4 linked regions of the Oreochromis niloticus genome follow. The protein of the gene in region 3 purifies or fractionates together with the protein of the main gene of each other region. This does not show direct contact. Links are inferred from orthologs where the notes say so. Each region holds a gene or a part of one and is shown on either strand. Other genes may lie near its edges. The genes, in order: smarcd2, smarcd1, ss18 and bicra.

Region 1 (7,442 bases), on a different chromosome or scaffold from region 3:
CCCCACTCTGCTGGATGGCATCCCGGGGCGCTAGAGAAAAAGAGGGAAACTGATTTCACGGAACGATTTCTCCATATCTACACAAAAAGTTGAATATTTCATTTAGGACTAAAAGAAATCAAGGATCTGATTTACTAAAGAGACAGAAAAAAGTACCCATTTTAAAATAATAATAATAATAAAACCAATGATGTGTTAAGCTGTGTGCACATAAATTTCATATTGTATGATCAACTTATATCAAATTCTAGCTTTTTGGATCTGGTGAGTAAAAAGAGTGCACAGTGACATACAGTATAGTCACTTACACTGTATGCTTTTGGTTGTACCATAAATATTATGAGTCATAATAGCCCCATTAAAAACATGCCAAAAACGTAAATGCACTGTTTCTGCAGGTGGGGTTAAGTTTTTAAGTTCTATGGTTTAATTATGAAGTTGTGCATATAAAAACTGTTATGGCACTGCAGTCTTTATCTCCATCTACACAAAGCACAACCTCTTTCAACTTAAAGGTTTCACGTATCAGGATATAATGAAAAGAAATCTGGTTCTTAGCATGCTTTAAAATTTGCTAAATATAACCTTGGATGAAATACAACACATGACATATTACACTGTGTTTTTATTTATTGTTAAACAAAAAAAATAAATAGAAATGCAGAAGCAGTAAAGTAACAGCCAGATGCTGCTAATGCACTTCATCAATTTATTAGTTTCAGGAAGTGTGAACACCTCTGTAACAGCAGAGGTTTTGACAGTTTGCTGGTTTGGAGGATTCAGGTGTGTTAACACGAACACATCAGCGATAGTCCTTGAGAAGCAACTGCTGCCCATCAATCTGGAAAGCCTTATAAGGTAATTTCCAAACAATATGAATCCATCTGTCTACAGTGAGAACTATTATCCACAAATGGAAAGCATTCAAGACAGTTGCCAATCTTCCCAGGAGTGAACGTCCCAGTAAATTCACTCCAAGTTCAAACTTTGCAAGAGCTACTTCTCAGGCCTCAGTTAGCATGCTAAATGTTAAAGTTCATGGCAGCACAATTAGAAAAAAACTAAACAAGTATGGCTTGTTTGGACGGGCTTCCAGAATAAAGGCTCTCACATTTGAACAAACCACAAAACCTCTGGAGCAATGTCCTTTGGACAAGTGAGACCAAACTGGGGATATTTGGCCATAATGCTCAGCACTACATTTGGTGAAAACTAAACACAGCATAACAGCACAAACACCTCATACCAGCTGTCAAGCGCGGTGATGAAGTCAAATGCGAGGCCATATACTTGACAGCTAAAACTCGAGTGTAATGATCACAAGCACACAAACAAATCTACAACAGAACAGCTCAAGAAGAAAAGAATCAACGTGGTGTAATCACACAATCAAAGTCCTCAACCCGCGTAAAATGCTTTGGCAGGATCTTAAGAGAGCTGCACATAAACAAATGCCTGCAAATGCCAATGAACTGAAGCAATGTTGTAAAGAAGAGTGCACCAAAATTCCTCCTGTGAAGGGCTGATAAAGTCATACAGAAAAGGATTACTTCACACTGTTGCTGCTAAAAGCAGTTGAACAAGCTCCTGAATCTTGAGGCGTGCTTAGTTTTTCACACACTGCTTCTGCATTTCGGCTCAGGTTTTGTTATATAAATAATAACCCAGTGTGATGTGTTGTGCTTTGTTACACATCTGAGGGTGTATTTATTTTAAGACCTGTTACTGACTAGATTTTTTTTCTTTTTAATTATGTCTTTTTATGTAACACATCAGTACTGTAAATAATGTATCAACAAATTGTGAGAATTCTCACACTTTGTCCAGTTTGTAAACATTAAAAAAAAGTCTAAACCCAAATGGCTCCAACTGTCAAAACGGGGGTAACTGCGATGGTGTCTGTTAACTACGGGAGAAGCTGCAGATGGTGACAATACTGGCACGATGTATGCAGGCTTGCCTCTGGGCAGATGGGGCTGATAAACTTTTGCTTTCACGCTAACTGACAGGAGGCGAAGCGGGCAACCACGTGATTTTCTTTTTCACACGCGCACAAAACGCTAAACGATATCAATTTGAATTAAACGTCCCACTACTTTTATGTACCACTTCAAATGCCATAAAAGAAAAAAGGTTACACTTAATGATTGCGGTAATCAATAAATAATTACACCCACTTCGAAGGCGGAAGTAGTGTCCACACGGTGATATATATGAAGAATAATGAGCTTTATGGGGTTTTTTTTTTTATTTCCATGTCTCTCGGGTGAGTATTTCAATTAGATAATTTTATTTAAACACCAATTTAAGGCTCCAAAGTAACGAAAGGCTTAAAAAGACATGGGGGTGATCGGACAAATACCGTCACCCTCACCTTTCACTCAGTTTCTTTATTTGACACGGAGAAATCAAGCAGAACCAACCTGGGGGTATTGGGGAACGCTGCTCATGCTTCTGGGATATCCCCCCGGAGGCTGGGGCATTCCTTGCATCCTCATGCCCGCGGCATGCCCAACATTCATGGGGCTCATACTCGAATTCATCGGAGGACCAGTGAAGCTTCCCCTCGATGCCATCTTCTAGAGCCACAAGTGGTTAAAAGTGACGGAAACTTCAAACCAAATTCGGCCCAAATAAAAGTGCGGCAGGCTGAAGTCTCCAAGTAGGTAGCTAACTAACTCCGGGTACTTCTGCTTAGGTCGGTTTCTGGTTTGACAGCAAGCACACTGTCAACAAAAAGCTAGCTAACGTTAGCTCACTTCCTACCGTTTCAAGTTCCGGGATTTGCTTCTACCTAGTGACTGCTCGTTTTGTGAACACGCCAAGTGGGAGCTCTTGTCATCTCCCACTCGCGCCTTTACGACTGAACGACGCCAGATAAACGATAACTAAAAGCTAATACACTGTGAGGCGAATTAAAAACATGATAACGTCTGACTTATGACAAACTGAGTATCTTGAGCAGATAGTTTGTCTGCACTCTAAAGCAAAACCAAGTACGCTCAACTACATGTTGCGTTCACAAACATCGGAAATTAGGAAGTTCCAAATTTCAGCGCGCAATAATCTCGATTTTTTTTTTCTTTTTGAACACGTTAAAACACATGCTAGTCTGAAGTCTTTATTTCTTGTGTATTTTGTAAAAGTATATATTTTCAATTATATTTTATTTTCAACGCTTGATTTCAAATGTGACATACAGAAACTTGCGATAGATTTTGTAATAGTGTAATTTTGTTTCTTCCAAACCAAATCCTGGAGTAATACTCTGCCTCCTGAACACTAATTTTTCTTAAACAGTAATGTGCTGAATCTAGAAGTGTTGAAACGTATAGAAACATACAGGGAAATACAGGATAAAAGAAAAACGGAGGCTGTACAATTTTAGGGAGCTTGAAAGCCAATATTTGGTATGACTACATTTATTCATCAGCACAACACGAACTCTCTTAAGCAAGCTTAAATACTCTTCAGGAATAGTTCTCCAGTCTTCTTAGGGGACATTCAAAGCTCTTCTTTGTTTGGGATCACCTTCCTGCTAAAAAATTATGTCACTGCCAGTCAGACACTTTTCAGATTGCATTGCATGGTGGATCTAAATATGACGCTACTTTCCCATTCATTTTTAAAAGATCCCCTACACCATTGACTGAAACACAGCCCCAAACCTCCAGAGAGCCTCCACCATATTATACAGATGACTGTAGACACCCACTGTTCTACCCTCTACCCTGACGTCCTCTGTAGAGTCCAATTCTTGTGAAGTTTTGCATACCTCAGCCATTTCTCCCCATTTCCCTTCCTTAATAATGGCTTGTTGATAGCCAACCTTCCACTGAGGCTATTTCTGATGAGTCTTCAGTAAACAGTACATAGATCCTCTGTCAGTTTTTGTGGATTTTTTCTGTTTACTGTTCATCTGTTGTAGATATTTGTTTTAGGCTTGGCATTTTTTTTATCCTCTATTTGTCAAGTTTCTCCAAATTCTTGCACACAATACCAAATTATTCCAAGTCTTCAGCTAGTAGCTCTTTAGAAATCAGCTTGTTGCTATAACACACTCAAACTGTGTTATCTTTGGATTTTTTTGTCTAAAAAAGTGCCACTTTAAAACTGGTCCTGTGCTAAGTTATCTGGTATGTGCAGAAATAAAACTACTTCCTCCCTTGAGTTAAATGCCCCCTTTTATGCTTGAATTTAAAGAAAAAAAAACAAAACATTCTCCTGAAAATGGTCAGGTACATTGACTGAATATGAATAGGAGTGAAAAAGCAGCCCACGTCCAAAGAAAAACTTGGAAAGACTTTCAGAAAGCCTTGAGAACTATTGCTCATCAAAATCTTTTAACCTATGGGCTACATTAATGCCTGTACTGCAGAGTTTAGGAAGGCTACACAAAAACATTATCAGCTCCCCCTTGGTACAATAAACTCTGAATAAGAAGCTTGAACTGTATGAACACGGCTGTGTTTACAACATGACAGTTTTCTAAGAAAATGACCTATAACCACACTAACCAAGGCAATATTTAGGCCCACATCCAGCAACAGAAGCATGTGTACATCATCTGATCAACAGCACCCCCTGTTGGTCGGTAAGACATTAATTCTATGTACTTGGTTGCTGTTTTATACATTCACACTTTTGTTAAAATGAATGTGAAAACACAGGACAGATAACAAATCATTTATTTTGCTAGACAGATGAAACAAACTGAGCCATGATAGCAGCAATTCAACTATTAGAATATTTACACTATCACATCACACCAAGGACATATGTAACCCTTTACAATGTAAACACATGATACAAAGACATATTTCAATGCTAGAAAACAAGCAACTCTATCCACCAAAAAAAAAAAGAAAAATGAAGAAACCTGCTTTCTGCACCAAATACCTGCTTCTACACTTCAGGAGTTCATGTCCTGAACATTGTGAAACAAGTTTCCACAGGTGAACGACAGATGCTTGTCTTTTAATTCTGTTTGAGAAATTCAGACAGTGAAAGGTGAAAATAAAAGACAAACCATTAGCAATGATTGTCTTTGACATTATTATTTTTTTTTCAAAGATTGAGATTGTAAAATGTGAGGTAATATAAGGACATCCACTGTGTAATCATTTCTGTATTTTATGAAAAGAAACAAAATAATACTGTAAGCATACACCGTCTCTGAATGAATTACACCAAAGTTTACATCTGTGCAGTGAAATCATATTTGGTGAAAAGTATCAGTCGAAAATGATAACTACAGAAAATTTTCTTTTTAAAAAACAAAACAAAAAACAAAACAAAACAAGTGTTGGTACAATGATTTTCTGAATAAAAATAAATTTGTCAAGTATAAGGTTGGGAGCTCTGGACTGCTTCTGCAGAGCAGCAAACACCACAAACGTTGCCTTTAACCATCAACGTCCATTCATTTCACAACATAAAGAACCAAAGGTGAAGTGTTGTTGGTCATCCCGTGAGCGTGTCTCTGTGTGCATCTCCGCACACATGATAGTGAGAGAATGTTTGTGTTTGTGTTATTGTGAGAATGCCTCATCTTTCATCAGCATGCGCGGGCTCTCCTGGTTGTCCATGCGACGTCTGGGACCCATCATGCCTAGAGGAACAGACGCGCCATTTATTTATTCATGCTTCAATCCAGACACATAATTGATTTCAACTGGTGTTTAGTGTCTCAATCACTACACTATTACTGGTTCTAAATTATATGTGCACCAGACAATTTATTAGGTACATGTTCAACTGCTCATTAAGGCAGATATCTAACCAGCCAATCACATGGCAGCAACTACATGCATTTAGATATGTAGAGATGCTCAAGACAGCCAGCTGAAATTAAAATTGAGCCTCAGAATAGGGAAAAAAGACGATTTAAGTGCGGTTTAAAGAAAACAGAAAATATCTAATGAGCAGCAGTCGTATGGGTGAAAATGCCTCATTGACGCCAGACATCTGGAGTATGCTAATAACCACAATACAGTTAAGGTTCGCAGAAGAGCATCTCTGAACGCACATGTTTAGCCTCGAAGCAGACAGGACACAGTGGCAGAAGACCACAGCGGATGCCCTTCCTGTCAGCTAAGAACAGGAACCTAAGACACATTTCCTGACCAAATTTGGACAATAAAAGGTTGGAAAAGCATTGCCTGGTATGATGAGGCTTAGTTTTTGCTGCAACATGCGTAAAAAAAACAAGAAAGCATTGATCCATTCTGCCTTGTCTCAACTGTTCAGACTTCTGGTGTCAGTGTAAGAGTGTGGGAAATATCTTCTTGGCACACTTTGGCCGATATCAATGTGGACCAGAATCTCTGAGGAATGTTTCCAGCAGTGCGTTGAACCTGTGCCATGAAACATGAGGGCAGTTCTGTGCACAAATGGGGTTCCAACCCAGCACAAGAAAGATGTATCTAATAAAGTGGCCAGTAAGAGTATTTTGAATAATTTTTATAATATGCTAGCAGAAATTTGTAAGTTTTTTTTAATATGTCTTTTTAGTTGTAGACTGGGGGTAGCTGTAGCTCAGGTGCTAGAGCAGGTCAGCTGCTAACTGGAAGGTTGGTGGTTTGATCCCAGTCTGCTCCAGTCTGCATGCCAAATATCCTCGGGCAAGATACTAACCCAACATAGTTCCCTACAACACCCATCAGAGTGTGAATGTGTATGAATGTTAGATAGGGAGCACTTAACAGCTTAGAAAAAGTGCTTGGGTGTGATTGGGTGAATGTACAAGTTGTATAAAGCGCTTTGAATGCTCAGAGTAGAGAACCAGTCCATTTACCATAAACAAAGGTTTAACTGACAGATCAAGGGAGAAAAACCTTATGTTGCTACACTGTGAACTTTCTGAATTCTACAGAACAAAACGTTCTACCGCATACTTTGGTGTGGTAGAAATCTTATAAAGTCATGGATGTGACAAATATAGAGAAAGCAAAACAGGATACCTTTATAGCCACCACAGTCTGAAGCCAAACACCTTTAACACTTCATTATGTGACCAAATATATGGTTATGGTTTCCTGTTGAATTACGCTCATTAATAGTGGCTAATAAAATCAGCTGACGTTAACACGTCCTTGACATTTGGGACAATAAAATTCACCACTTCATTTCATTCTATTAGACATAGATTATTAGGGCATGTTGTGTCTAAAGGAGGAATTCTTGTGTAATTTTGCCCTTGAAATCACTTTCGTGAGCATACAGGTGGAAGAAGGAGCTACTTTTGGCTGCTCCCTTATTTATAAAGGGTCGCCACAGCGGGCAGCTCTGTATGCTTGGCTTGGCAGATTTCTTTTTTCTTTTTGATGCAACCTCAAAGGGATTTGTGTCTCCTCCTGCAATCGGGCTGAGGATTTCTCATTTGTTAGGCGAATTTGTAAACCACTACAGTATGGACTGTACTGACAGATAGGCGTAACCTG
Region 2 (7,223 bases), on a different chromosome or scaffold from region 3:
ATGATGTGAAAGGCTGCCAAGGACGTTGGAAGAGAAAAAATATGTGACAACCATTTACTGAGCTGTCTTTCAGGTTGGTAGTAGCTAAGAAGCAAACACTTCAGCTGTGGATCAGTGATAAATGACTCATCGTTTATATCTTGATTTTAATACAATTCTCTTATCTTAAGACATAACATATTAGCTGGAGATGACTCAATCCAATGCAATATCGGGGGAATAAACCCAGGACTACAGATCAGGATATGAAAATTTATACTCTGATACTAAATATGAATGCAAGAGCATGCATGGGATAATAAGACCAAGAAACCAAAGAGTTCTGATCAAATATAGTAATGGAGCATGCACGCAGTATATCGCTGGAGCACACAATCAGCTTTAAAGTCCATTCATTTGAAAACATTTAGAGTCTGAAGTCCTGATTTACTGAAAATGTTTGCTTCTTGGTCATTTTCTTGAGTCCCCACTGTGCAGAACGATGTGTTGCAGGATGTGAAAGCAAATGAAAGATTTCAGTTTCTTCAGCCAAAGGGAGCTCACCTTTAAATCTCAGCAGTCATCGTGGACCTTGATTCTGTTACATAAGAACTAGAAGGAGAAATTGGCAGCATCTTCTACCTTGCAGTTAAACTTCTGAAATGATCAGTATCTCCATATTAATATAGTGTGGGATTTCAAGATAGAAAATGAGCTGATGTCATTTTACCTGCTTAAACTTTTTTTCTTTTATTTTCTGTGCATCTGTGAGCTGTGCATCTCTATATGTATTAAAGGGAGGTTTTTAAAAATTATATTCCAGGGATTTCCACCCTCGACATACAAAAATATTCGGCAACCTAATCAACATCACCGTCCAGAGTTGAAACAGTTGGTCTATATCAGACTATTTCGTGGTTCAGAGTCAGGCAACTGTGAAGGTGCACTTTGCGTTCACCTTCACAGTTCCCCATATTCATTCTTCTCCCATTACAGTCAGAGTCGGTGATATTAGCCTCAAAGTTATATCACAATATTTGAGGGAAAATTGTGATTATATTTACAGCGATACAGGGGAAAAAACAACGTTGTATTGGTGACTTTAGCTTGCAAGCAGCAACATTTAATAGTGCAAACAAAGTGAAGGACGTTTTCCAAGCTGCCGTCATTGATACCGCTGACTGACATAAGACAGGTTGGTAAATAAATTACAGTATTACCAAGGCAACCAGAGCCTGAAACATCTACTTTAGACCAAACACGAGCAACACAGCGAATGTGGATGGGATTCTGGAAATGTTTAATCTGACAGGAAATCACTAAAACTCAAAATTATGTTTTTTTCTTCTACCTGAGACCAAAACATCAAGTTTCCTAACTAATATAATCAAATGAGTATGAGGACCCACCTATGTAAAAGTGCTATAAATCAAAATATTATCACAATATCTTGAAACAGCACAAATCTTAAAAAAACAAACAAGATAACTAGTGGCTGAGGGTGAACGCACCATGGTTTTATTGTGTATTCATTGTGACAATTTGTAGAAATTGTCTCCTTTGGACATCTGTTTTTCTATCTATTTTACTGCATAATTACTCTGAGTATCTCTGCAATTTAGGGGATCATAGACTACTGTTAAATTGTGTTTAATATGTGTGTATCACCTGCAGGTCCGTAAGTAAATTTTCGACTATTTGGACAAATGTTTGTGAGGCAACTTTCCCCTTTCTGAGACTGACAAACAACCAACCGACCAGTTACTGTATATCCAGTTTGTTGATGGTATACTGGCAAATAAGATTAGTTTACCAATGCTGCTGGTGGACAATGTTAATGTGTTTTCAAATCAATTCTGCACTGTGTAAATGTTAATAGATTGTGTAAATTATTTTATATTTCAAATGTGAGAAACGACTGTAGATTAATCATGTGATTATTATTATTATTAATTGTGACCAATGGACTAACCGCTGTAATCTGATTTGAAGATCAGAAAATATCAGCTTATAAGACTCAAAATTAACTAAACATCCTTCCAGCAGTTTAGATGCGTAGTGAGTTCACGCTGAGATCCCAGCGTTTCTTGGTACTTGGTGTACTTTGCGGCAGACCAGCCAAGTAACAGTGAGCTCACTAAACATAGACACACTGATGTTAGACTTTACAAGTTGTAAAACACCAACTTCGACGAGACAAACTGCACCAGCTAAACAAAGAGTGAAGTCTGCTACTGACTGGCACCTCTCCTTAATCAGTGTTTCTGTAGGTAGGTTGTAAATTTGCATTGACACAAACTCATATTGATGCAGCCGATTCATTCAAAAGTAGGCTCGACTTATAACAACTTCTGAGTTCGAACCGAGCCTGAACTTCACAAACTACAACTTCTAAAACTTAAAGGATGGTTTAATTGTTATGTTTACAAACTACACGGTGCACATTTTGGGTCTTTTTGATAAGAAAACTGGCCGAAATACAGTTAACAGTTAGCGGGGTTAGCAGGCTAAGCTAACTGGATGCTGCGATTAGCTAGCTAACCTTAATGTTAGCAGGCGGGAGGGTTAGCAAATTCAAACAACAAACAAACTCTGATGGTCATCCACAGCGACTGGTGAAATATTTCAAATGCATCACCAGTTTTGAACCGGGCTGCTAGTTAGTATGAGCTGTGGCCTACGGTGGTGAAGGGGGTTAATGCTAGCCACTAGGGACAAAGCAAGCGGAGCGAGGCTTTGTTCTAGCGGACTCGCTAACGCGTCAGCAGCAAAGATAGAGCGATATCTTACCGGGTACCCAGGCCCGGGCATCGGTGAGCGGTACATGTGGTTCTGCGCGGCAGCCGATGGTCCCATTCTTCCAGAAGGTGTTCCTGGTCCCATGCCTGGTCCTGCACCCGGTACCGGTGGTCCAGGTCCCATTGCTCCACCACCACCCGTCGGTGCCGACTGAAACCCCCCTCTGGCCGCCATCTCCTCTCTGAATGTCGCTGCCGGTGTAGGCGCGGAGCTACCGCGAGAGCGAGAACGAGTGTTGGGATGGACGTCACAGGTTCAAGACGCCCTCCCCTGTTTGTTGGTGGTACTACAGCAAAATTAGACCTGGTGACGATGACGGCGGAATAGGTCCTCGTTCAACGTTACAAAAGTACTGTAAATATACTCCATTACTCCATATAAGTTCTTTAAAAAATACTAGTTATGTAAAAGTTTCTAACTATAATCATGAACATGTACTTAAGGTATTAAGAGTACTCACTTCAGTTGTGCTATTACGCAAAATATTTGTTTTATGTTACATCTGTTAGAGTATAATTACTTAAAAAGCAGGATTGACCAGGATATTACTGTTGTAGATGGATACGTTTTTTTTGCTACAATATGCTACTGGACTACAATTAATGGATATTTTAGTTAGGTAATGTGGTAATTCATTTTTAATTAATAAATTTAACATCATCCCCAAAGCCATGGGCAGTGAACAAAAAAGGTGAAGACGAGAGTGTAGCCAGGATGGAGTGTGTGGAGACAAGTATCAGGGTGATTCGTGACAGAAGGATAGCAGCAAGAGCGAATGGGAAAGCTTTTAAAATGGTATTGAGATCTGAGATGATGAATGGTATGGAGACTGTTGCAGTCACCAGGATGGACAAGTTTAAAAATAAGTATTTAGGAGGTACAGCTCAGATTGAGACAAAGTTAGAGAGGCAAAGCTGTCATATGCAGAGGAAGGATAGTGGTTACATTGGACAAATAATGTTAAAGATGGAGCTACCAGGCAGAGGGAAGAGAGGAAGACCACAGAGAACATTCATGGATGTAGTGAAAGAGGGAATGCAAAAAGTTTCAAGAAGAAGCATCACCTAATCTTCCCCAGGTCTCCACTTACCTGTTCATCCATGCCTTGGACTGTCTATGTGCACTCTGCCTGTTTTTTTGACCTCAGCAAGTTAACCTAGATTTTTGACTGACCTTTTTGTCTTTATCTTGTTAGCCTTCCTTGTGTTTTGCTTTGGTACTGACCTTACTAAGCTGCAAGTTTGTTTTACAGTCATGTAAAAGTAAAAGTTTTTACTGGTCTAAATACAGACCTGTAAAAACTAAATGCATCCTGTGACTTGATAGCTTTTAGATCCTTTTGCATCAATAGCTTAAAGTAATTGTTTTCTTTATGATTTTATCAGTCTCTCATGTTGTTGTGGAGGAAACTTGTCCCACTTGTCTTTAATATTCTTATCTCTTTAGAATTCTGCTTAAGTTCATTTAGGCTTGCAGGCATTTCAGTTGGATGTCTAAACTTCGACTAGCCCATTGCAGCACCTTGAGTCTTTTCTTTTTCAGCCATTGTAGATTTGTTGGTGAGCTTGGTATAATTGTCATTTTGGACGATCCGATTTCAACCAAACTTCAGGTGTTGAACAGATGACCTCACATCTGGCTCTAAAACACTTTGGTTCATGGTCGACTCAGTAACTCCAAGGTCTGTAAGCTTGTGCTTTGACGGTTGATGTGAGGTGTGTGAGCTGATATCCTGTGTTTGGTTTTCGCCAAACGCAGTGTTGTGTATTATGGCCAGACAGCTCCACTTTGAACTTGTCTGTCTAATGGACATTGCTCCAGAAGTCATGAGGCTTGCTCAGCTGCAAGTTTGCAATCCTAAACCGTGCTGCTATGTTTTTAGAGAGAAGAGACTATCTCCTTCCAGTCCTTCCAACCAAGCCATAGTTTTTCAGTCTATATCTAGTTATACTGCCATGAAGTAGGAAATATCTGTTGAGTTTAATAAGTATCTCATGTTTTTGCGTTCTTTGAAGTTTTTCTTACCACTGCATGATGTGGTCTTTGGGTGACTTTGCTGGGATATCCAGTCCTGGGAAGATTGTGGGATAGTGTAAACACAGACCTAAATGCTCCAGACCAGCAACCTGCCAAAACGTCTGCTTTTATAGAGGTTCTCACATTTGGTGATGATTTGTTGATTATCAATACCTGGCTGCCACTTACCTTTTTAATTCCTGGCTGCTAATATAATTTTAATGGAAGCATTAAGCGTGTACTCATTTTTCACAGGAGTGCATAGAGTCCTGTGAAAAATGTTCTTTTTCACAGAACTGTACCTGTCTGCCTCTGGCTCTGTAATTTGGCTCTATTTTTCTTTCACCGTAATTATCTCGAGTCCAAAGTGACACCTTTAAAGTTTTTTTGCTCTAAATTAAAGTGCATATGAAATTGTGTAATTATTAAGTACCGAAATATGACAGATAAATATAGGTGCTTGTAAAGATAAACCTTGTGTACCTCAATTTAGTACTTTGGCACTTGTTTAAAAGTAATTACTTTAACTTAATTTCACTGAACATGAAGGGAAATCACAGCCTTTCTTAAATTAAGGAAGGTTATAAATGAAATAAAACTAAATCCAGAAACATTATTGTGTTTGTGTGTTGCTCCTTCATTTTATTCTTTAATTAAACAAGTGCTAACATGAAGTATGAAACACAAGAAAAAATAGCATAAGTCAGTATCTGACAAGTAATCTTGAAATGAAAATGAAATGAAGATAATGAAACTGTTAATTAACTAAATTAACAGTGGAGCATTGGCACCTTTTATCATAATCTGATTGCATTTTCTTCTTTCAATCTTTGATAAATTATTGGCAATACGGGCTCAGTGACTATGAAAATTAGCCTTTTGCTTATCTCTCTTTTTTCAGAACTGTAATTAAAATTCATTGTCCCTCTAACCAAATGAATAAACTTAATTATATTCAGCGTCTGATATCTCTCCAGGCTGACTGGTGACTAAAAACCAGATCTATGGATGCAATGTGCAGTAAACCAAAACAAACAACTCTGTCTGGGTTTGTAAAAGTTAAACAAAGGTTAACTCTGTCTTGTTTGGTATGCCATCCAGTCAATCTGTCTGCCAGGGACTGCAAAATGGATTAAAACCAAACAAAACAGCATGCGAGGCCCTCGTAGAGAGACATTTGGAAGGAATATACCGCCATGACTGAGTCGTAGCCATTAAAAGGAAATGCTGGATGCTTTCAAAATAATGAAGGAAGTAGTTTTTATTTATCAGTTAACGTCATCATTCATCATGCAAAGTGCAGCAGACTGCAATGAGAGAAGTATTTAGTGTGACCATCCCTGTCCTTTAAAAGGACTTTCAAAATGCTTTTCTATGATCTTGGAGAACTTGCTGCTGTTCTTTGGTGGTCTCAAGCCATATCAAGCTGATACTGCTGTGAAAGGCAGGACTCATGGTTCTTCTTGTAGTTGAAGATGGCTCTTTATGCTTTTGTCCATCATCCTACCGATTTCATTAAATGACTGATGCAAAAAATGAAACATTTGAAGTACCTCAGCCTCTGATGCTTTCCTTTTTTGTGTAGAATAATTAATGAAAAATCTAAAACTGTTTTGGTACCAGTAATGAATTATTGACATCATAACTGGCCTAGAAATAAATCAGTATGGATTATTAATCTTAAAATATTCAAGGACAAGACAGCAATAGTGTCCTTCACCACTGGGCCTCCCAAGTCTGCCCTCAGAGTAGTTGACTCAAGTGTTGTTGGCTCTGAAGCAGTGTAATGACAGTGGGCCTTTGGGTGAAGCAGGAAACATCTTGGGATAGGCAGAAAAGAAAAATATGACACATCACATCATGCCTTTAATGTGGGAGAAAAAGGGATGTAATTTTAAGATATTTCTTAGGAAACTATTCATTTTTTTTCAAATGTTTTTCAATGTCTTTTTTTGTGGACTAAATACATCAGGCACAAATGAGTAAGAGTGGCTGGGTTTGAGCCTAGGATAAAAGCCTTGTGCTTTGAGTTTGTATGTTCTGAGGTCAGATATTTCCTACCATGAAAAATAAATGAAATCTCTCAGAATTGTGCCCTTCACCAATGCTATTGGCCCTCTGTGACTTCCCACTGCTCTTAATATGGGGATCAATAAAGATGTTCTGAGTAATGTTGCCAAAAATGGCCTAAAAAATCCAAGACCAGAAATTCAGGTAGGTTAGATAAGTCTATATAAAAAGGCCTTTATTTTACAGGGTTTAAGAGATTAAAAATACATCAATGTGTGCCAGTTTACACCTTGTTCAGGTGTAGAGATACAAAGATACAAATCTATCCATATCCTTTTTATCATGAGTGAGGGGTCTTTATACTTGACCTATTGAGTGTTAAATATAAGATTACAAATGAATAAAGGGTAAAAAGAGTG
Region 3 (7,815 bases):
GATTTATTAACTTATTACACGGGAAAAGATATCAGAGCGCTAATTGATCTCTGACATCATCCGAAACACCAACCTGTAAAGACTCACAAACAAGACAAAGTGCAATTGCTCTAGTCAAGGCAGCCAGGGCACCCACTCAGGAAATCCTGGCTTGGGGAGATGACTCTAAATGAAGGACTTTACCATTCACCATTATGTCTTTGGTAAGAGTCAGAGGGAACCCCCGGGGCTCTTCAGCACAGCACGGTACAACTTTTCAAAGGGCTCCAGATTAAAGTCACTGAAAGTTCCCACTGGGGTCTGAGGCCAGGATCCCATTAAGCAGCCCTACCACACCGCCGGCCATAATTGTGTCGTTGAGAATTCAGAGCAGTGGTTGCTTGATAAGCGAATTTAGGGAGAAATAAAAAAGGAGAGGCAAAAAAGGGGGTCTCGTTGGGCCACCATTAGACACTTCATTCGCTCATCACTAATTCGTTTTAAATGACTGAGGGAAAGGTGAGCACTTTATAAAGCAATCCAAGCTTCCAGCAACTCCCCACCCCCTTCCATTTTCAGGTCTGTGCAACAGAATGCTGATAAATGAAAAACGTTACACTTTATAGCCACACGCTTCACTTCTGCTAGTGGCGTTTTTAAACTGTAGTTATCTTTATCACACTACTTGCTTTGCAGTAGAATAATCAATAAAGAGAGTGAGGAAATCTTGTGCTCTTTTTCCAAGCCTCATCTTGAAGAAACCAGTCTTTGTTACTAGGAGTGTCACTTCTAATAATTTCTGTCATTTTTATACAATGGCTGTATTTAGTAGAGCAAGCTGGTATAATGGAGTGAAACAACTTTTATAATAAATCATACAAACAAGTCTGCTTTTATTGAGTATTTTGTTTCATTAAGGTTCTTTGTATCACATACAGTTTATTTTAACAGCGGGGAGTTATCAGAATTGTTTACTGAATGATAAAAAAAAAAAAAAGTGACCATATTTTAAGATCTGAACCCTAACCTGAGATCTACGACTGTGTGTCTTCGAAATAGTCAGCTCAACAGTTGGATGTATAAGAATTCTGAAGGTCTTTACAACTGGTATAGCATCTACACAATATGTGAAAATCACAAGTTATGAGTCAGTTCTTCACAATGAAATAAATGAATAAACCTTCTGAAACCTGCAAATATTTGGAACCCAAGTATGATATCATCATCATCCAAGTGCAATAAGGACAAGATTTTATACAACTGCTTTATGTGGATTTTTTCTGCTTTTTCTTCTCTGCTTCTTCTTCTTTTTCCTTTTCAATCTCAGTCACCAGGGTCTCAATTTCCTTGGATTCCAAAATCTGCAAAGAACAAAATGCAAACCCATTAGCACTTTAGTGAACTAGTAGAAAAAACATAAAGTAATATTTGCCTTGTTAATTACCTTCAGTGGCTGATTTCGTCTGATAACAGCAAGTTCAATATTTTTTCCCCCTGACTGGACAACCTGTGACCAGCAAACAAAAAAATAAAGCGAATACCGTGACCAATTCAGGAAACATTTATTACGCCAGCTAAGACCATTTACACAGAATGCATTGAAAAGAGAAAGTTATAGTTTATTTGGCAGCAGTTGGTGCTCTTTGATGAAACCATGACTGTTTAATTTCACATTATAGAAGACGTAAATACATTGAGGTCAACATATATGGAAATGCAGAAAGTAATCGTAACCTTACCTCAAGCAAAGCTTTGATGGCCAACTTGATTGCCTCATTGTCCCCAGCAATGGCTTCTTCTGTGTAATTCTTCTCCAAGAACTCTCTCACAGTTTTTGCGCTACGGCCGATTGCATTTGCCTGTTTTGGTTTTTTTTTTTTCAAAAATACATTTTTTTTTTTTTTAAGTCATTTTCATACTTGTACAAGAAACCTTTTGGACACAGAAAAATCCTACTGACCTTCCAGGCATGGTACGTTCCCGACGGGTCCGTCTGATACAGCCTGGGAGTTCCATCGTAGTCAAAGCCAACAATTAATGCAGAGATGCCAAACGGCCTGCGACCATTGCTTTGAGTATAGCGCTGCAAATACATAAAAAAAAAATGTTTTTTGACAGGTTATTCATGACTCTGTATTGAAAATGAAACGGCTAGCAAACATGGTCCACTACACAAATGCTGAAAACACTCTTGCCCACTGAAAGGAATAGCTAACATGTCTTTTTGAAGGTGTTAACAGTAAACGACTGCCCAGATGGTTCCTTACCTGTTTCAGTGTAGCTATGTAGCGTGTGATGTATTCCACTGTGACTGGGTCCTCAACTGTTAGCCTGTGGCTCTGGCACTCAACACGAGCTCTGTTTATCACAATACGAGCGTCTGCGGTCAAACCTATAAAATAATGAATGAGGCCATTCAACACATTACAAAACTACAACAAAAATATAAAAGCCAAGTACTAACACATGACACAGCTGTCTTCTACTATGCCATGTTAAATAATGAACACATTATTCAGTTATGGAAAGAAAATTGTTATCTGGGATACCTGCAAATGCCATGCAGACGTGCTCATCCAGTGCGCATATCTTGCGGACAGTTCTTTCCTCCTGCAACTTTGCAACAGATTTCTTCTCCACACCAAGGACAACAATGTCTTTACCTCTGATTCCCACCTGCATATAACAAAAAACAAACAAAAAAAAAATCAAAATATTAATATTAATTTTCTCCCATGGACTAGCAGTTGACGTGAGTAAATAATATCCAGCAAATATTCAGATCCCCAAATAAATCTACAAAGCGGATACCTCTGCATGTTTGATTTGGCAGAGTTTTAAGCTGTATGGCTCCAAATAAGTTTGTGTGTCCAGCTGTAAATGAACAATTCCCCAATAAGCTAACTAAAGAAAGTAAGTACACAATGCAAAGTATATCAGAGGGACAGCTCAGGTTGAGCAGTTTGGAGGCAAAGTTAAGATGGTTTGGACATGTGCAGAAGAGAGATACTGAATACAGTGAACAAGGGTTGTTGAGTATGGAGCTGCCAGGCAGGAGCAAACGAGGAAGAGGAAAAAGAAGATACATAAATGTAGTGAAGGTGGACATGCAGAGGGTTGGCATGACAGAAGAGGATTCTTGGGATAGGGTGAGACGAAGGCAGATAATCTGCTGTGTTGACCCCTAAAGAGAGCAGCCAAAAGAGGAATTAGAAGAGAGTGAGAACATTTTTCATTTACAACCTCAGTTATTTTCGCCAAGTAAAAATTCTGCTCAGGTCACGCATGTGGTTTTTTTTTTTGGTTTTTTTTTATTTGAGGTTTTTCTGTGGTCCACCTGTCCAAAAAGGAGCCTTCAACAAAGTAATCAGTTATCATAGCCAAGTTTACTCAACAAATCTGATTAGGACTTATTTAAGATAACTCCCAAACACATACAAGTTTTTTTTGCATTTATTTTCATATAGTAAATATAAACAGTTTGGTTTAGCCTTCATCATTCCTCAATGTCCTTTGTAATCCACTATTATGACAGCCGTTACCTCTAACCAGGGGAGCTGCGACTTAGTAGCTTTGTGAGTTTATAACTTTTGTCACTAAACCTTAACATAACTACCATTAGTTATGAGGCAACTACAGTGGCTTTTCAGTGATTTGGATGAGATATAATATGCTGAGTAAAACTCAACTTTCCAGACCAGGTAATAATCAATCATGGGTACTTGCAAACTCCTGTCAGTTAGTACCAACACAACGAAAATGAAAGTTAAGCGTGAAGAGTGACACAGCGACAAAATGCTAGCTAACGCTGACTGCTTTTTGTTTGCCATTTTCGGCATTAAAAATATGTATTACACATTTGCAAGCCAACAAGCTCGTAAAATTGCAACAAAACCTTGGTCCATAACAGAAGGTGTTAAGAGAGAAAATTGCTAAATACATAAAGGAAACCGCTAGCCGCGCGTTGATCGGCTAATCTAGCTTCACCCATGTTGCTATCGTTAGCTTTAGCATTAGTTTCATTTAAAGACTTACCGCTGTAGAACCTTTCTTTACAGCTTCCTGTGCATACTCCACTTGAAAAAGATGACCATCGGGAGAAAAGACAGTAATAGCTCTGTCATATCTTGCCGCCATTGCACCGCTAGACGCGTATTATAGCAATAAACTGGAGAAAAGGCTACCAAATGATTCAGCTTGTTAGCAACAAGCGATTCACTCCGTGTGTTGAAAAGGGCGCCTGCGCATGACCTGTGAACTGAGACGATACCAAAAGTGGAGTCCACCCGGAGGGAACTTGGGATTAAAACACAATACTCTGTATAATTTGATTGGTTCTCCGCAAAACAGAAATCGTAAAAAGTAGAATATTACACTACGAGCATATACAGTATTTTAATATCAAGTTTTATTTACTTTATATATTGAGAGAGATTTCTCCTTTCAAAACGGATGCTATAAGAGTGAATAAGAGCACATAAATCCCAGGACTGATATTAGTTATTACTACCAAAATTTATGCAATGTCATTTTAATAAGATATATATACACTAAACGCTCCGCTTTCCCCCTTTTTCCGACAGTTTATTTTTTATGGTCTTGTGGTCCAGCTCTGGACTGTTCCATTATATGAAAAATAGGTGAAATTGTAATCCAATTAAGCCAAAACGTGTATGATTTTAACTATTTAAATACATTTTCTTATATATTATGAGTTATCTGATCTTAAGCTTTACATTAATTATTCATGTATGGTCAGAACAAGCAGAAATCAGTAACTATGAGTTAAAATGTGCTACTTCGTCCCCCAAAACGGACCACCGCATTACGAAATTGCATCGTATTCTCAACTGCTTGATCTGAGTTCTACCGATTTGTTCAGTGTGTTAGCTACTTTTAACTTTTATGCTGTAGCTTACGTTAATATTCTATAGTATCACCATGTCGGTGGCATTTGCACCTCACAGGCAGCGTGGGAAGGGTGATATAACACCCGCTGGAATACAAAAGGTAATTCATCTTTTTTAGCGCGTCGCAGAATGGAGGCTGTGGCATCAAACGCGGCTAGCCGTTGAGATAATCAATGTAGCAGTGCCCATCCAAGTCCAACTGTGAGCAGCTCAGGAACAATGTTACAGGGTCAGAGCGCGGTGAATATGAACCTCCCTGGAAACGGCACTCCACGTGTGGAGTACGAGTCTTGGGTGGATTTATCGGACTAACGTATAATTGTGTTTTAGGTTAATGGAGGCCTGTGGTTTTGTTAGCAAAGCACAGCTAGCTAGCAAGACGCGTCTTTTGTTGGCTAGAAACGCACACTCACATTTTACAAAACACGACCCTTCACTGTCTTAAAATGAAGACAGAATAACATTCGGCAAGCAAATTAATTGTCACGCCAAATGACCGTGTTCGTCCGCTTTATTATTAATATTTTGGGGAGTTATAATGAGTACCACGCGTAATAGAAATCTCTGAATTTACCATTGCAGTTACTTGATGAAAACAACCAGCTGATCCAGTGCATAATGGATTTCCAGAGTAAAGGCAAAACTGCTGAGTGTTCACAGTAAGTTATTGGAGTTATTAAGTTTTAAAAATTTTTTTTTTTATAATATTTCACGTTACATTTATTTCAAGTTCCCATTGACTCAAACACTGCACTGTTCACTTGCCCAGGTATCAACAGATGCTGCACAGAAATTTAGTGTACTTGGCGACAATAGCAGACTCCAATCAGAACATGCAGTCTCTCCTCCCTGCTGTGAGTATGAATTCTTAGTGGTTGTTGTGAATGACTGAAATGTCTGACTGTCTTCTTAGATCATACCCAGTTCAAGTCACTTGGGTATTTTAGATAAATCATCAATGTTAAAAAAACATTTTTTTTGTGAGATTAAGAATTTTGAACAAAGTCATTAGTTTTTTTTTTTTCCCTGTTAGCAAAATTAAAATGAGTCTTTTGAAAACTCACTGTTATAGTGATCTGTTCAGTACAAACAGACTGCAGGATTTCTTTATGTATGAGTGCTATCTGTTGAGCTGTTGTAGCTGCCATTTAAGGATTTATTGCCAGTAGTGCTCATTCGCAAGGCTTCATTAAGTAGAATAAATATTTTGGGTGAACAAATTGAATCCTTTACTGAGAAAATCCATTCATTTCTCAGTTTGGTTAAGCTCTCAGGCACTTGTTAGTGGTGTTTAATATTGATATTATTTTTATTGGTAGTAGTATAATTATCGAGTCTGCTTATGGTTGGATTATCCATGCTCTTAATCATTCCATAACAATTACCCGTTTGAAGAACAAGGAGACTACAAGAGTCAAATATGTCAAAAACTAAAAGTACAATTTTTCTTTCAAGTCATTAAATGTAATCTTCATTAACTCAAAAGAGTGTTTATCAACTAGAACATTTATTAAACCTCAAATAAAGGTGTGCTTTTCTTGACCTTTAAATATAACCCAATTCCAATTACATGGAGAGAGAGGAAAAAAATGGTTGGCAATGTGAAGTTAGCCCGAGAAAGCCCATCTCGCAAGAGCAACTGCTAGTCACAGTGCATGCAGGCAAATGGGTATAAAGAGTCATATTATCTTGATTACCTTTGGAAGCCAAAACTTAATTCATATTAAAACTTGATCAATTACTCAGCCCTAAAGTTCCCAGCATCAACAAGAAACGCTGTGTACACCGTGTCTGAACACAGTGTAGAAATGGCCCAAAAAAGGCTTTTATTTGTAATTTATTTGACGTGCTCATCTACGCAAAACAGTTGTCGGCATCGAATAAAAAGAATTGATAAGCTTGGAGGCATAGAATTTTATTAGACTTGATTAATTCCATTAAAATCTGTTATCGATTCTCAACTGGAACTATTCTTGCATTCCCATCCCTAGTTGCAAAGAAGCACAGTGGTTACAAAAGTGATTGAAGTCACTGATTTGCTAACAATCATATAGTAAAGGAGTGAGTGTATTCTTATGAGTAAATGTTGCTGACATACCTTAAACTCAGATGATGAGTGTGGGCACATTCATTTTCTTAATATGCTGCATGGTGAGCATGTTTCTGGAGGGGTAGTCAATGACTCAAACAGCTGGGATTAGGACCAGCTGTTTAAAAGAAATGCAGACTAGAGAACAGTTTTAATTGCTGTTTTTAAGCCATGAACCTTTTAAACTGCTGCATGTATAACAGTCTTAGTTCAGGCTATTTTTTTAAGCCAGTTTTGTTCAGTTTGTTGCAACTTTGTCTATCGATGCATTTTTGTAATCATTGAAGGTTTCTAGCTGTTCCTTTTATTGAAAAACGTTTTTCCTTTTAATGTATATTAGTAGATTTTGTTCTCCTTAGATTAGTGTTCTACATCAATGCCACAATCTCTATATCAGAGTTATCATGTTTTTTTCTGGAGTTTTTATCTCAAGTGGCTCAGGTTGAGATCTGTTTTCAGAGAGATCATGTGGATTTATTTTTTTGTCTGTGTTGTGCACCTACAGCCGCCCACTCAAAATATGTCCATGGGTCCTGGTGGCATGAACCAAAGTGGCCCCCCTCCTCAGCCTCCTCACGGTCACAACATGCCCTCTGAGGGTATGGTCAGCGGTGGCCCTCCAGCCCCACATATGCAGAACCAGATGAATGGACAGATGCCTGGTATGTGTTCCCCCCCACCTTAACTTCCCTGCCTTGTCTTTCTTTTCTCTTTCTCCTTTTCCCTCAGTTCCTGTCTCACTTGGGTTGCCTAGCAACACCACAGAACTGTGAGGGAGGTCGCTCTAAGGTATCATAGGCAAACATGCTGAAGGATGATGTCACCCATTTGCCAGCT
Region 4 (7,482 bases), on a different chromosome or scaffold from region 3:
ACGTTCCTGTTAATTTATTCAAGTACAACTAAACATTTAACATTTAATTACCTATCGATGTGCAACACTGATGAAGAACAGCCTATACTAGCTTACAGTATCTCTCTAAAAGCACAAAACCTTCTTATTCTGAGTGTTTTTAAACTGAACTAATGTATTATTTTACTCTTTATGACTCAAAATTTGTCAAGATACAGAAATACTTTCAATTCAAATACAGTTTAGTGTAGGGATTAAGCTGTAATGTAAAAATGGCATCACTTTACCAGGTCTAGAAATGCATTTTATTGAAAAATCACAAACATTAAAAATCTAAACATTTTTCTTGCTTCCAAAGCTATCCAGTAAGCTGGACTAACCATCATGGTCATTTGGTATCCAAAAAGACTAAGTTATATTTAAACACTCTAATTACTCTTAGGTAGTATGGGCTATATAGTTAGTTAATAACCATATTAATAAACATTTATGAAGTCCATCACATATGATATACAGAAAAGGTCAGTCGATAGTTTTTAATTTCAAAGTCCTCAATTTTCCCCTGTGTGTTTTTAACATTCAAATTATGAGTAATGACTCAAATCATTACATCACCTATCACTGTCAGATATTTCGGTGTCTTGTTAGGATAAAGCAGGCATGACGTGATAAATAACATATGAGGTCCTGAAATTATAAAATAATAATAAAGTTTACAGTTAAATACAGAAACTGATTTTCAAAAAATTAAACGTCTTTTAACACCTACACTTATCAACAACAGAAATCCCCATGTGGTAACGAACCCATAGAGAGACCAAGCAGAACTCATATTTGTTAAAATCCGAGAAAACAGCGGATGGCAATAGACAACAAACTGAAAACGCGCGGTTTTCGCTCCGCCTGCAAAGATTTCGAGAACGGGCTCTCGCCTCCCGCTGAATTTACCACAACTCAAAACACCAGCTGTGCCTTTCGTTTCCAACAACACGAAAATAACATCTCAAATCAGCTTCCACAAGTTTACCGAGACCAATAAAGCGACCGTACACCCAGTTGCCGCTCTGAAGCAGCAGCAGATCGTAGCCATTGCTCAGTTAGAGCGCAGCTAGTACGCAGGATATGAATGGAGTCACTGCAAGCGGCTTGCTACATGCTAGCTAGTGTTTTCAAAAAGCTTTGCATGTATATTTCGCTTATTACTCACAACACGGAGTATTTTGTAGCCACACTGCGGACTTAAGACTCTAATTTAACAAAACGTTTAATTTTAAACCACTGTTTTGCCTCTATTTTCAGTCATTTTAACGCATCTGGGTTGACTTTCGTTAGCCTAGCTAGCTAACCAGCTAAGCCAACAAGCTATCAACAATATTGAGACGTACAGCTAGCTTGAGGCTTTGACATTCAAAACAAACCAGCGAGTGACACAATTTTAACACTCCTACTGCACAACGATGCCTCGATTTGACAAAGGCAAGGCAGTATTGTCTGCTTTGAAGCGTAAATGCAATTGCGTAGCTAGCTATCTCTCCTTGTAAGCAAAATATGAGTTAATGTTGGAATACTCTTGGATGAGGGGGGTATGCTTGGGAATTCGGTGGAAAATGAGCATGTTCGCCGGTTCGTGCGGCAGCGTGGCGCTTCGATTGCGGTAGCCGTGCAGTTCGCGGCTCGCGTGCAGTTCGCGAATATTGCAGCTTTGTAACAGTTTTTTGGATTAATAGAGAAATTGCTACATTGTAACAAACTCACCCGAGACGATAGAGGTGCAGGCAGCGCGGGGTCTCCAGGACAGCCTCGCACGGGCTGCTGTACAGGACCCAACTACAAGGCAGGAAACAGGAGACTTCCGGTTTGCCTGATTGAAATCTATTCCTCCTGCGTGTACCGTGGCAGAACTTTTCTTTCGACGTGCTTAGCAAAGTTTTTCGTACATTTAAACACCTTTCTCAGTAAATTTGTGGGGCTGTTTTTGTTCGTAAACCTGAAGTCTGAAGTCTTTTTTTAGGAAAAACGACTGGAGATTTGCAGCTGATATCGCGCGAAAAGCTAACCCTTGATGTTTAAAAACGAAGTAAATAGCACATACCTGGAAACGTCTAGGCCTGATAAGGCACATCCCTGATACAGTAGCAGGGCACTACTAAAAATTACTAATTTGTGCATCCTTTAATATAAAATAACTGAAGTTATGCATTGCTTTTCACTACTAATTATTTGTGTCCTCTAAAACTTCGTCTTGTAACTCCCTTATTCTAATGTACCTCCATTTAGGTATTTGTGGGTAAGTATAATTGGATTATAATTTCAAATAAAATACATTAAAATTAAATTTTTGCTACAGGGGGATTAGTCACAGACTATGCTATAAAGTGTTTATCAGTCAAAGTAGCCTAGTACAGCTCACAAAGCAAGCAGAAATAGTGTACCAGTTTACACAACAAATCTGATATGAATTATTTGTCTGATAATCAATATTCATATATACAACTAGGATACTACAGTTATACTGAAAAGCGATAAGGCATATTGTAGCATGTTAACTTTCCAAACAATGTTTAGTGTTCTGCCAACACCTGCTAATCAGGTTTGCTCACCTGGTCAATGTGGTGACCCTGAAGTATGCTGTTCAGCATTATAGTGTGCAAACGTTTCTATATGGTCCATATCAATAATATTGTTTGAGCACTGCTAAACAGAGCCAAAAGTAATTGCAAAAACACAAAAAAGACACAAATCACATGAGTAATCATGTCAGGAGAATTTGTCACAAGCTGCTACAAATAAAACCACAACTATCACTATTTTTTAACACTCCTTTTGCATGGAAATGAAGGAAAATAAAAGGAAATGAAGAGTTATTCCTCAGTGTGTGGTCACTTCTTTTCAGATTGTATGCCCCTAGAAAATAACCTCAACTCTGTTACAACTTGATGGCAGTTGCTGACTGGTTACGCTGAGAAGACATGCATGCAGTGCACTCGAATTTGTGGGGAACAGTTAACTGTTTTTATTTTTACTTGTTTTACTTAATTACTCATTACCACCATAATAATTATGGTTTTTTTTATTCATGTATTAGTTTATTTTTCTAAATAAGCCTTGATTGTCTTACTGTGTAGTAAAATTGTCAGGTGTGTGTGTGTTTGTGGGGGTAAGAGGGTGGTGTTAATTGCTTTGTGTATGTTGAACTGTTTGATTGTTCTTTGTTAAAACTTTTTTAAAACATATTTAAGAAATCAGTGGTATATGCAAACCATGAGAAGTACCACATGATATCACTTTAACACTTTAGTGTGTTAATAAAAATTAACATGTAATGTTACATGCAGTTCTAATGAACTGACTATCCATCCATCGATTTATTTTTAGGCTGGTCACAAACCAAGAACCATTGTGCTGGATATTATAGCTTGTTGATGTAACTATTTGTGATTACATATGCATATTTTGTATTCATACTGTATGTTTGAGTTATAGTCAAAAGAGAAAATGAAGGAGGCTATTTAATACATTTTTAGGGTTGTGTTTTATGAATAGAAATTTACTGTTATGACACCACTTAACTTTACAGCAGTCTCTGTACAGCTGTGATGTATTCTCCTTTACATTAATGATGATTAGAAACACTAGATGTAGTTGTTAGCTGGTTAGCTGGATAGACTATGGAATAATCCAGTTCTAGATTTTCATACCAGCTCATACCAGACAATAAACAGATATTCCAAAGTTAGAAAAAGGAAAGCTCAGTTTACTGAAACAAAGTCAATAACTACACTAAAACCATACGAAGATTTAAATGTAACTTTAAAAAAAAAAAAAACTTCTAACGGTTACCAGATATGACTAATATACTGGATAGCAAAAGAGTACTTGAATGCACCAGCAGCAACAGTAGTGCGTCGGTGCTCCTGTGTCACGTGACAGAGGTGATGGTTACTTTGCGGCTGGTGATGTGACAAGGTTAGCCTGCAGCCACTAGCAGTGGTTAGCGAGTTTGTTGACTTTTACATTTATTCGTTCTATCTCAGAAACAGAACGATTGCCTGAAAATGGATAACAGCGGAAAAGAAAAGGAAGCAAATGCTTTGATGGCCGAGGCTGAAAAGAAAATGAAATCGTCTCAGTCGTTTTTTGGAGCGTTGTTTGGGTGAGTCTGTCAGCTAGCTAACGTTAACGTTTGGCTAAAGGAGACAGCTATGCGGAAGGTTGGGAGCTGACCACAAGGGTTAAAAGCCAGGACAAAACGATTTTAAATAACTGTTGATTGCCTTTATAAGTTGTAGTTACTATTATGCGGTTATTTTCAAGGCTGTCGTTTAGCATAGCTACCTTTTCTCGGCTCGTCGTATAACTGGAAAGCGTTTAGTGTGAAAGATAGCTGGAAATAGTCGGTACATGCTCATTTTAGACTCCGCTTTAAGGCAGCTTTCATGCTAGAAATAGATTCAGTTGAACCCAAAGCTGAATTGTTTAACATTTTAAGATAATTTCACTTAATTGTAAAGGCAGCGCCTCCCCTATAGCGCCGTCTGTTGGGCAGTTTTCGGAAGGCCACTCAGTCCAAATCACGTGTCATTCACATTTGTTTACAGCAAAAGAAGAAAACGTACTTGTGATGTAGCGAAAGTGCATGTAAGACTAGCTCTCACTAACCTGTACAACGGGCTTTGCATATAACAACCTAAATGCAGGTTAATTTTTCAGGTTGGATTTTTTTCTTTTATTGTAGCAGGAGCTCACGTGCAAGGTTAAAGGCTATGTGTTATGTATGAGGCTGTAAAATCCGCGAGGGGTTTGTGGCGAAACTTGAAAATGTAATTGTCAAGATAGTTGTGTGTGGGTAATGGGACTGAAATCACAAGCAGAGTCAACACTTTTATATTTCTACTAATAAACGGTTTTACAAACCTTTCCTCACTATAAAATAGTAACTTAAAGAAAGTTTAAAGGATTGCACACTGAAGGCAAACATGGTCTTTTGGCGTCACTCAATGAAAAATCAGTGAGTGCCGGCTGGGAAAAGGACCGCTATAACTTGTTTCGACCAGTGACTTATTTATAAAAAAAAAAAAAAAAAGTAGATCAAATATTTCGCATGCCAATCCTTGTTCCTCTTCCTCTATGTTATAGGCATTCAGTTGAGGCAGTTGTACTATTTAAATTATAACATATCCCATAATCATTATGAGCAAAAATTAGATTTTGGCTTTAGATTGTGAGACTTGGGTGTGAGAGTGGGTTTCAAAATTGATTTGGTCGCTGTTTTGAAACGGACTTAAATATGTTTGTCAGCCCTGAAAATTTCAGAAGGCGGGCTTCTGTACATGTGAAGTAATGAGAAAAAAAATAATAAAAGGAATAAAGTTTTGACCCATTGCTTTTAAAATATTCATAATATGGTGCTAAAATTTTGCATGTAAGTATACTAAAAAGAAAAAAAAATCAGCTGATTATACATCTTTCCAAAGGGATTTTACCGAGTGAAGTGTTTATATCATCCCGTGATAATCTGCAATGGATGGATGTCTTATTAAGAAAAAAAAAACATGTTTTGTCACACAGTGGCTCCTCAAAGCTGGAAGAAGCCTGTGACATGTTGGTGAGGGCAGCCAACATGTACAAAATGGCCAAGAATTGGTGTGGTAAGATGATTGTCACATTTCAACACAACAAATGTATTGAATGCCTCTTTCTTTTTTTCCTATGTGCTTCAGTGATTTTAAAATGCAACAATTTATCTTCTTAATAGCTGCAGGAAATGCATTCTCCCAAGCTGCTCACCTTCACCTGCAGATGCAAAGCAAACACGATGCAGCAACCAACTTCATAGATGCTGGAAATGCCTTCAAAAAAGCAGATCCACAAGGTAAACTATACACATCACTTTGGGGTATATAATATAGATGAAGTACACTTGTAAGTTTTACACCTTTTCATATAAAAGCTTTAGATAATGAAAGTGAAAATGGTTTAAAAATGTTATTAAATCTTTTATTTACTTTATTAAATCTTTAACGTCATACAAATGCTATAAACAGTGAAATTCCTGATTAGTGAGAGCATGTTTGAGGTACTCTTTGAGTACTTCAGTACTGTTGAGGTTTCATTCCTTCTGCTCCACGTGTCCTTCCATAAACTGAGGTGTCTGATGAGTCATTTGATTATTATGATATTACTCATCGAGTTTAAGCTGCTTCACCTGACAAACCTGCAGGACTGGCTGCAGATAAGAGAGTAATCATGTCAGGAGAATGATAATTTTGATAAATCCTAATTTGATTTAATTATTTAATGAGCACCCATCTATCTGCTGTTTATTTATCACATGACAGCTGCACATAAGTTCTGCATCAATAAAAGAAAAGCGGAAAAGAATTTGAGTAAATTTTATTTTATTTTTTTTGTTTTTTTTAAAAATTAATCTCATTATTTCATTTTAGCTGCTATGATTTAGAGATATTAAAAGAGTGCCACCACGTGGCATTAAAAACTTGACGTACGATACTTCATAGTCGTGAGTAGTGCAGTGAGTTTGTCTGTAAGCCTTTAAATGAGACTTAAATATCAGCATTCTAAAGTTTTCCTTGTGCTTTGATGCCAATTTTTGTACTGCTGAAAACAGGGCGTTATGAAAGTGCAGGCATTAATTAATATTAATAATAATAATTCAGTGTCCTATCTAACAACCCACAGGGCAGTGGCTAAGAGTTTAATGAAAAAAAGTTTTTTATTTTTAACTATTAATGCAGTTTCATTAACACAGTATTGTATATTATTTCACTTTCAGTCTGAAAAATGTTACAAAAGCCATGAAATAAATATGGTCTAGTACACCCCATTCCCCAGTTTAGACTCTCCCTGTTACTGCAGATTTTTCACCATGTAAAACAAACGGCAGTGGATGGAGCAGCTACAAAGTTTGCTTTTCTTCATGTCACAGTTTGTTAATCAGGTGCTTTGATGAAGGACTCTTTCCAGACATTTTCCAGTAAAGGTTTTAATGTCGATTACTGGAACAGCGCTTACTAGAATACTAGAAACACATTTTCTTTGACTCCACCTGAGAGCTCATCATCTCTGTAATGATGCTGCCTCTTTTTTGCAGTGTGTGAACGGACTCAGGCTCCATGTTAAACGGTGCTAGCATCAGTGCTGCTGTTGTGTTATCAGTCTTTTCATCATAAAACTGGGGACTGCGTAGGTTTAGTGTTAAATTTCATATTCACTCTGCCCCTAAATACATTTGTATAGCAGGTCTTTTTTTTAGTTGCAAATGTGGGTGAAACACTTGTGTTCGGGTTTACATGGTGACGAATAGAGCTGTACATTAAATTAGGCATTGAAATTGTTGAATTTGTGTTAAGGATTTTTTATTTTATTTTTTTTAACAATCAAATTATTCGAATTACCCGATGAATCGTTGCGGTCCTGCATCATAGTACACATTTCATAGCCCATCTTGTTCCTGTGTGGGGTTGTTGTCATTGGGTAGAATGA

Evidence for each region.
Region 1: the proteins of ss18 (region 3) and smarcd2 purify together in Homo sapiens (affinity purification with mass spectrometry; 4 studies listed by BioGRID and IntAct, counting the BioPlex papers as one, with this or other methods). This does not show direct contact. The link is inferred for Oreochromis niloticus from reciprocal best matches to the Homo sapiens genes SS18 and SMARCD2.
Region 2: the proteins of ss18 (region 3) and smarcd1 purify together in Homo sapiens (affinity purification with mass spectrometry; 5 studies listed by BioGRID and IntAct, counting the BioPlex papers as one, with this or other methods). This does not show direct contact. The link is inferred for Oreochromis niloticus from reciprocal best matches to the Homo sapiens genes SS18 and SMARCD1.
Region 4: the proteins of ss18 (region 3) and bicra purify together in Homo sapiens (affinity purification with mass spectrometry; 3 studies listed by BioGRID and IntAct, counting the BioPlex papers as one, with this or other methods). This does not show direct contact. The link is inferred for Oreochromis niloticus from reciprocal best matches to the Homo sapiens genes SS18 and BICRA.

The regions. Positions count from the first base shown.
Region 1 is NC_031973.2:15,815,126-15,822,567, forward strand, and holds the start of smarcd2 (SWI/SNF-related matrix-associated actin-dependent regulator of chromatin subfamily D member 2), read right to left. Parts: upstream 3,021-7,442; 5' UTR 2,577-3,020; coding exon 2,424-2,576; intron 31-2,423; coding exon 1-30. Other genes in the region: atxn7l3b (ataxin-7-like protein 3), read right to left, coding at 5,532-5,611. UniProt on the Homo sapiens protein: Involved in transcriptional activation and repression of select genes by chromatin remodeling (alteration of DNA-nucleosome topology).
Region 2 is NC_031970.2:8,062,217-8,069,439, reverse strand, and holds the start of smarcd1 (SWI/SNF-related matrix-associated actin-dependent regulator of chromatin subfamily D member 1), read right to left. Parts: upstream 3,006-7,223; 5' UTR 2,953-3,005; coding exon 2,770-2,952; intron 1-2,769. UniProt on the Homo sapiens protein: Involved in transcriptional activation and repression of select genes by chromatin remodeling (alteration of DNA-nucleosome topology).
Region 3 is NC_031982.2:17,086,547-17,094,361, reverse strand, and holds the start of ss18 (protein SSXT), read left to right. Parts: upstream 1-4,801; 5' UTR 4,802-4,920; coding exon 4,921-4,989; intron 4,990-5,036; exon of another isoform or gene 5,037-5,118; intron 5,119-5,471; coding exon 5,472-5,548; intron 5,549-5,658; coding exon 5,659-5,743; intron 5,744-7,483; coding exon 7,484-7,640; intron 7,641-7,815. Other genes in the region: psma8 (proteasome subunit alpha-type 8), read right to left, coding at 1,245-1,340, 1,424-1,486, 1,719-1,838, 1,940-2,062, 2,247-2,371, 2,529-2,655, 4,015-4,116. UniProt on the Homo sapiens protein: Appears to function synergistically with RBM14 as a transcriptional coactivator. Isoform 1 and isoform 2 function in nuclear receptor coactivation. Isoform 1 and isoform 2 function in general transcriptional coactivation.
Region 4 is NC_031979.2:33,407,467-33,414,948, forward strand, and holds the start of bicra (BRD4-interacting chromatin-remodeling complex-associated protein), read right to left. Parts: upstream 3,012-7,482; 5' UTR 1,735-3,011; intron 1-1,734. Other genes in the region: napab (N-ethylmaleimide-sensitive factor attachment protein, alpha b), read left to right, coding at 4,035-4,132, 5,548-5,627, 5,735-5,851. UniProt on the Homo sapiens protein: Component of SWI/SNF chromatin remodeling subcomplex GBAF that carries out key enzymatic activities, changing chromatin structure by altering DNA-histone contacts within a nucleosome in an ATP-dependent manner.